Linked DNA regions of Macaca fascicularis. The protein of the gene in region 2 interacts with the protein of the main gene of each other region in a biochemical or structural test. Links are inferred from orthologs where the notes say so. Each region holds a gene or a part of one and is shown on either strand. Other genes may lie near its edges.

Evidence for each region.
Region 1: the proteins of UBXN2B (region 2) and PPP1R7 form a complex in vitro, tested with the Homo sapiens proteins (2 studies listed by BioGRID). The link is inferred for Macaca fascicularis from reciprocal best matches to the Homo sapiens genes UBXN2B and PPP1R7.

The regions. Positions count from the first base shown.
Region 1 is NC_088386.1:137,086,702-137,090,512, reverse strand, and holds part of PPP1R7 (protein phosphatase 1 regulatory subunit 7), read right to left. Parts: intron 2,882-3,811; coding exon 2,826-2,881; intron 2,189-2,825; coding exon 2,123-2,188; intron 1,458-2,122; coding exon 1,327-1,457; intron 333-1,326; coding exon 170-332; intron 1-169. UniProt on the Homo sapiens protein: Regulatory subunit of protein phosphatase 1.
Region 2 is NC_088382.1:68,396,021-68,400,375, reverse strand, and holds the start of UBXN2B (UBX domain-containing protein 2B), read right to left. Parts: upstream 2,856-4,355; 5' UTR 2,823-2,855; coding exon 2,739-2,822; intron 1-2,738. UniProt on the Homo sapiens protein: Adapter protein required for Golgi and endoplasmic reticulum biogenesis. Involved in Golgi and endoplasmic reticulum maintenance during interphase and in their reassembly at the end of mitosis.

The DNA.
Region 1 (3,811 bases), on a different chromosome or scaffold from region 2:
GATACTGACTTCCAGTATCAGTAAAAAAAAATTTCCTTGTTCATGAAAAAAATCACAGCATCCTAAGAAATGCATACTCACTATGCATTCTACATACACCCACTGAGTCCACACACAACCCGCCAGCTGCCTCTCCCTGAATATACTAGTCAGGGCTGTCTGCACCTACCCGGATGCGGTTAGATCCCAGCTCTAGCATCTGTAGTTGATGTAAGTTGCTTAAGTTCTCAATTTTACTGATTTTATTGTTGACCAAGAAGAGTTTTTTCAGTCGTGTCAACTTGTCAACCCCTTCGATGTTTCTCAGCAGATTAAAAGAAATATCTAGAATCCTGAGAACAACCAAAACAGGTTTTTAAAAAAATTACATGAGCATAGGTTGCAGAGAACTCACAATTCAACCACCCTAAAGGTAGCACCCCATTAGGGGACTGCAGTCACTGTGGGACGGGGCAGGGTGGGGTGGGGTGGGGCAGGGGGTGCGGTCTGTGCCCCTGCTGCCGCCTGGCTCACACTGATGCTGTCATGAGGGATTTGGAGGCTGCCCAGGAGCCCGCAGCAAGCCAGAGGCAGCCTACAGGCTCCTGATGCCCTGGATCCCAGGATGGTATTTGAGGCAGAAACTGTTACATTCACACCTGTGCCCATGACAGGACCTTGCACCAGGCTCTGCACACAGAAGGGGCCTGAGAAGTACCGAATTAGAAACAAAACAAGCAAAAATGAATGAGCAACAGAGGGCAGAAATCCAGGTAAAGTTATAACTAGGACCTGGCTCCTTCTTTTTTAATTTTAATTTTTGTAGACAGGGTCTTGTTATGTTGCCCAGGCTATCTCAAACTTCTGGGCTAGTGATCCTCCTAATTTGATCTCCCAAAGCGCTGACATTACAGGTATGCACCACTGCACCTGGCGTAGAACCTGACTCCTTAAATTATAAATGTCACTTTTTTTTTTTTTTAATTTAAAAAAAGAGTATTCAAAAGGCAAGAGGAAATTCTGGATTAACTTTCCCCTCGACCAATCTCAGTATCATCCCTGAATGGAGGCTTTTCCAGAAGTCCCCACTGCAGCCTTCCCATCAAAGGTTTACTTTGCAAGTCAGGATTGTCCAGGAAGCCGAAGACATGCGTGAAGCCAACGTGGCCTCCTGGAGCCCTGAACATGGCAGGCAGAGCCTTGGGATTCAGACGCAGGGCAGGACCCTGTGGCAGAGGCAGCCTCTCAAGGGCCAAGAGCCAGCAGGAGGGGGGCTCTGGAGAGACTGGACACCCCCACCCAGTGGCCTCCCCACCATGCTGTTCTCCTGTGGGTCTCATGACTCACTCCAGCTCTGTTAGCGCCTCCAGATTCTCAATCTTCTTGATCTGGTTGTCGTAAAGATCCAGCTCTCGAAGACTCTGTAGCTCCTCCAGATTCTCAATGCATTTAATTAAATTTTGGCGGAGGCAGAGAGTCTGGGGGATGGGAAAAGGACAATTGACACCGGCACGGGGGAGGCCACGAGAAGGCCTCAGCTGGTACTGGAGGACACAGGACAGGCCCTTCTGGTGGAAGGACGTGTCTTCATTCTCCTGCTGTTTCCTAGAAAGGTGCTGACCTTTGAGAGGTAGGTGGGCAAGGGCACTAAGCTAGAATTCCTCGACACACCTGAGGATGGGCAGGAACCCAAAAGGAAGCAGGAGGCAGGCCCCCCACCAAGCAGGCCTAGTTGAGGAGGGAGGCGTTGGCCTGGGGTATGGGTGTTTGCCACTTCCTGGCAGAACATAAGAACCTATGGTGGGCTCAATTTTGAGAAACAAATTCAAATGAGATGCACGGAGGACCATAAAATTCACTGAGTGCCTAATTGAACACAGGCACAGAACTGAGGCAGGCCAGAGTCACAGGTCACTGGCCGCCTGAGCTCAGGAGAGCCAGCCCCAGGGCTGTGCCTCAAGTCCCTCGACTGCTGTCTCACACTTGCTGTGCTCCCAGTAAAGGCCTGCTACAAGGTGGAGGCAGCCACGCCTCCCACAGGCTGAGACAAAGACCACAACTTGGGACTGATGGCTCGATTCTGGACTTATCCACATCCTATGGGTGATATGGGTCATAGTCCCCTCATAAGAGTCCCTCTCACCTTCACTTTCTTCAGTACCTCAAATCCTTCAATCTTCCCAATGCGACAGTGATTCAAATCAACATCCTGAAACAAAGCGGAAATGTATACTCGGCTATAGCAAAGTGGCTGGAGACCTGTGTCCTAGAAGAGGAGCCATCAGAGGAGGCCTGGGAGTGGGCAGCAGTGGGGGAGGCAGTGCCAGGTGGGTCTGCAGCAGACAGGTGTCGGTGACAAGGTGTGCTGCGGGGGCTCTTTGGTTTAGTGATGACTTAGTTTTATGTAAAACTGGCCCTTAAAATGATTGGTACATGACATCTTTTTCTCATTCCCTAGATCCTGTATGCACAAAACATAAGCTCAGGCTCTTAGGATATGCACCCCATCCCATCACCATCAGAGACACGCTGGGGGCTCAGGAGGCCCAGCGGCCAGGCCAGTCATACACAGCCTGCGGCTGTTGGGACCCTCATGTATAATGTAATCATCAGACCCAGAGAATGTATGAGTCAAAGGCATCTCATCTGCCACACAATCCTCAAGGGTCAAATAGACATGGGGATAACAATCACTGGTAAGAAAAACAACATGAACACAGGACTCTGATCCAACCAAGGGAGGCTCAGGCAACCTCTTTAGGGAAGTAACTTACTAATCTCATACAAGATAACCTGACAGGTGGTCCATCACCATGCTCAAGGCTGGGCTGAGCAGGCAGCATTACCTCTGCATCTCTGTCCAGGTTGATGGTTTCCATGTCCACAGGCAGCTCATGTTCTTCTGAAAAAAATTAGAAAAAGAGGTTTGTTCAGAACCCCATTAACAGGAGGCATTGGTGAAGAGCTGCTTCTGGCCGAGGTCTGGGGCTGTTTGGTGCCCAGATCCAGCTCAAACCCTGAGGAGGAACCAATGAGAAAGTTTGCTGAGGACCTGGAGAATGTGGCAAGGGTGAACCCTGCTCCAACAATAGTGATGTTTTAAGCATTCTGAATTCCCTGAATTCAGATATTGGCAAAGGTCTCCAAACATTCATCTGTGCCTTTGAACTTTCAGAGAAGGGAAATGTGTTTTGAAGCTGTTAGTGGGAAGGAGGGGAGGAAGTAGCTGAGTGCAGGTGAGCAGGGCAGCACTACTGCCTTTCCGTGACTCCCAGAGCCGCAGAACTGGCAGCAGCCTGCCTCCTACGTAGCTTTTCTCTGTTTGTTTGTGGCAATAAACCAGGCCATTAGAATCTAGATCGTGCTGGGCACATCAGATGCTCTAGGATGGGCCTTTTATCACTTTGGAAGGTGGCCCAGCATCTACAAACACTTCCCTCTGCAAAGAGCAAAACAAAACAAAACATAGTTCAACAGATAGGATCAAAGAGGCTCACTGAATAATTTAAACACACTTCTCAATGGGGAGACTGATGAACTCACTCCAGCAGAGAAGCCCATTGGATTTCACGAGGACTCTCCACACCGGAGCCAGCCTCCTCTGTGCGGAGGCAGAGAGAGCTGCTCTCCCTGCTGAGGCGACAGACACCCTGTTAAGCACTTCCTCATTTCATTTCATTGGAACCTACTTCAGCATATGTGCTGAAAAGGACTAAGACACACACAGATGCACACACACACGCATGCACAAAGACACAAAGGCACATATGCACACTACACAGACACACGCATGCACATCAGTGGTATACAGACTCATGCAGACACACAAACA
Region 2 (4,355 bases):
ACTAGAGAATCAACAATACAGAATAATGATATTCAATAGGATTAGGGTCCTTGTGGCAACAGTTATCAGGCATTTTAATTCTTCGCCTTTATAGTGCCCACTATTGAGTCCATCCTAACAAATCCAAATCCTAACCCTGGTAATACTGAAGTTATCCCTGTTCTCACTTCCTACCTGTCCAACCTATACAGAAACACATAATATGTGGAGCAAAACTGGGACAGAGTATACAACTAAATACCTTAATGAACTTGTGTGTGGATGGGCTGAGGGACACCAGAAGAGAAAGCAATTCAGAAATACTATTGAACACTGATGAGGTTTTGGGCTTAGTTTTGCCACTAACAATCCCACCCCTAACTTTCCCACTGACCGTTTCCTTATTTGAGGTGGATGAAGGGAGCTATGAAAATCTACTCTGATATGCAAAAAAGAGTTCCAAGTCTGCAGTTTGTAACTTGGGGGCTCCCAAGGCTGGGAAGCCTTTTGGGAAGCAACTATGTAGCTTTTCTCTGGTGGTACCTGGAACACTCCCTCCTGATTTAGATACTGAGAAACCCTACACTGCATGGGGCTAAGATACACTTACTTAGGGGTAATTCTGCTTGTTCCAATTAGTAATATGTTGCCCCTTTACTCACTCTGAAAGACTCTTACAGCAAGCTGTTAGAGAAGTAAGAAATATCTACTGAAAGCTGCACCAACTGGGTAACTCTTAAGATAAGCATGTCTAGATTAAACATAACAAGATAATCTATAAATAATCAATATCCAAGATACCATTTGGGAAGAACATTATTTCTTTTAAACTTTTGATACATACTTTATTTCTTGATATGTCATCCCTTTGGCTGTTTTCAAGTTTCTTTGCAAGTTCTTCACATTCATATTAAGTTCTAAAGGAAAGATTATCAATACTTAGATACTGTACTTGATACACCAAATCACATTCATAAAGAAATCAGTTATCTTCCTACTGTCCTAACCTACCAGAACTAGACAGGAGATGAAAAAAAAAAAAATCCCCATCATAACTTAGGGTGGAAATGAAGGCATTCTCACAATTAGCAACATCTACCAGAGTATCTCCAAACATTAATCATACTTTGATCCACTGGATTAAGTCTGCAAATAATTTGCCAAGAATCAGGTGGTCATTAACCAAGCTATTCTCACTTTTCATATAAAAAGAAGAAATGGATTTAAATTAGAGAAAGGACATTAAGTTACATACTGCATTAACTTTAATGATATTAGAAGTGACTAGCCAGGGAAAGTTACAGCATCTTTCTCCTTTGAGGAAAAAGGAACCAAATATTTGCCCAGCAACAACTTGACCAGGATAATGTAGGAATTTTGCATAGGCCCTTTACAACACTATTTAATCCTTACACCACCACCAGCACCCCGACCCTCCTCAGTTTACAAATGAAGACATATGAGGATCAGACAGGTTAAGACTTTTCTCCTAAGTTCACAAAACTACTAAGTAGCAGGACTAAGAGGCAAACCAAAATTGGTGGGACTACTAACTCTATGCTGCCTCTCAGTGATGTGGGTTTATAATAGGAAAGATGAGGTACACAATAGCCTCCTAACTCTTGATACTGTTTACTACTACTGAACCAACTATGTGAGCTGGAGCTATTCTACATTGAGTTCACCTTCTAAACTTACACTGATCTCTGCAGTCTTCAAATTCTTCGCTTTATGCACTGCTTATTTTGGCACCCAGTCATACTCCATCTTAAAATGTTATGCTAAATGTATTCATATCCTATTTCTCCGAAGAAAACTGTAGGTTTCCAAAAGGTAGACATGTCTTTTACACTTACATACCCATCAACAGAGCTCAGCACCGACTAAGGATTTGATGTCCTTATTTCCACATGCCCAAAGCTCAGCAGTATGTTACAATGGATGGTGGTTTGTTCACATTAGAATGAAGTGTGGTTGTAAAGTAATACAGTAAAACTGTTCTACCAAAATTCTCCTTAGTATCTCCTTACTGATATTTACTTGTTAAATTTTTATCAATAATCTTATAATGAGACACAAAAAAGCCGAAAATGAGAAAAGCGGCGTTAGTATCTGATAACACGGGATTTGGTGCACTAGTATTTAGCTAACTAATACTAGTGTCCTACACGACATTACGAAGTTTTATTTCCCTGTTTCTTGTGTGCAATGTTTTAAAGACCACAGCTTAGACAACTAGGCTGTATGGGCATAGCGTGCATCGCTTTCCTTAACCCCTTTAAAAGAAAAAGCCACCTGATAAAATGGAACCATTTTTATATTTAAGTAAGCAAGTCAGAAATAGCATCCAAGACAAAAAAGAACAAATTACGTATCATTACTGTTCAGGTGATTGCCCACTTCCCTGCGGCCACAGCAACCTTTCCTCTGGAGTAAGTCTCAAGAAGAAAGCATCAACCCGTGAACCAACCAACTGACCTCGCAAAATGTCATTCTAAACGAATAGCTATTTTTACATCGTACTTGGGGTGGAAGGGAGACGAAGCACCAGCGCTGGAGGCTCGGGCACTTGTGTCCGCTACCATCACAGTGCTAAGCGCCGACCTCGGGAGACCGGGCGCCGGAGTCACGATTCCATCCCCAGACTGGGTCAGGGAAAGGCTCCGCCGAGGCCAGAGGCGGCCTCCGACTCGCACCCGCCCGCGCCATCACCAGCCCGCATCCACCGCAGCGCTCCCTCCACGAGCTGCTCGCCTCACCTGCAAATCCCGCGCGCTCGGAGGCCGCGGTCCGGAAGACCTCCTTTCTTTCTCGCTGGGGTCAGGGCCGCCGCCCTCCGCCATCTTCCGCTGGCTAGCGGCGCCCGCTGCGGACGCACCTCCCGCAACTTCCGGAGCTGGTTGCCTGGCAACCGCCGGAGGGGCGGAGACGTGCAAGGTGCGTGCGCGTCCCCGCTACCCGAACCCGCGCCCCCATTTCCGGTGCTGACCCACCCGTCGGGTTTCCCTTTTTCCATTAAAGTAAGTTGGATCGGGGAATTTCTCCGCAGGGAAACATCTATTAAGTTTTGCGTTGCTCCTGCTACCCACCTAAAGGCACTGTAGGCCGCCCTAGAGGGCAGCGTAGACTCGCAAGTTCATTTAGCTCAACAATGAAAACATCCTCTGGATTTTTCATCTGATGAAAAATTGCAACCTCTCCTTCTAGTCTTGGTCAGATTCTCTCATCTTTCGTATCAAGGATTGGATGGTACATCGTCACCACAGCGTGAATTGGCATTGAGAGTGAAAAACACCGTAAAAAGTGCCTGGAATAATTTAAAAAGCAGAACTCTGCCGGGCGCGGTGGCTCATGCCTGTAATCCCAGTACTTTGGGAGGCCGAGGCGGACGAGGTCAGGAGATCGAGACCATCCTGGCCAACGTGGTGAAATCCCGTCACTACTGAAAACAAAAAAAAAAACGGAAATTAGCTGGGCGTGGCGGCGCATGCCTGTAGTCCCAGCTACTTGGGAGGCAGAGGCAGGAGAATCGCTTGAACCAGGGAGTCGGAGGCTGCAGTGAGCGGAGATCGCGCCACTGCACTCCATCCTGGCGACAGTGGGAGACTCCGTCTCAAAAAAAAAAAAAAAAAAAAAAAAAAAAAAAAGCAGAACTCGGGACTATTAAGCCCTCCTCATTCAACTGAGATTGATTTACACTCCGGTCTTCTTATCCTAGGCACTTACTTTTTTTTTTTTTTTTTTTTTGAGACAGAGTCTCGCTCTGTCGCCCAGACTGGAGTGCAGTGGCGTGATTTCGGCTCAATGCAGCCTCCACCTCCCGGGTTCAAGCAATTCTCCTGCCTCAGCCGCCCGAGTAGCTGGGACTACAGGCGTGCGCCGCCACTCCCGGCTAATTTTTGTATTTTTAGTAAAGACCGGGTTTCACCATGTTGGCCAGTATGGTCTTGATCTCCTGACCTCATGATCTGTCCACTTCGGCCTCCCAAAGTGCTGGGATTACAGGCTTGAGCCACCGCGCCCCGCTTCCTAGGCACTTTTATGCCCAAGGGATGCAAAAGTAAAAAGAAACAGTCCCAGTGATTATGAAACTCAGTCAAGGGGGGAAAAGAGAAATGTAAACGGGTAAGATGCAGCGTGCAGTAGAGCTTTGCTGGGAGAGTTACAAAGGAAATGTGAGCCACGTGAGGGGGGTATACTCGGTTGGTGTCCACTGTGTGCACCATGCTAGGTGCTGGAGTTGACAGCTTGCCACCCGAGCTTTGGCATACTGATCGTTTTGATATATAAAGGCATTTGAGGCTGGGCGCGGTGGCTGACGCCTGTAATCCTAGCTTTTTGGGAGGCCGAGGCAGACGGATCACTTGAAGTCAGGA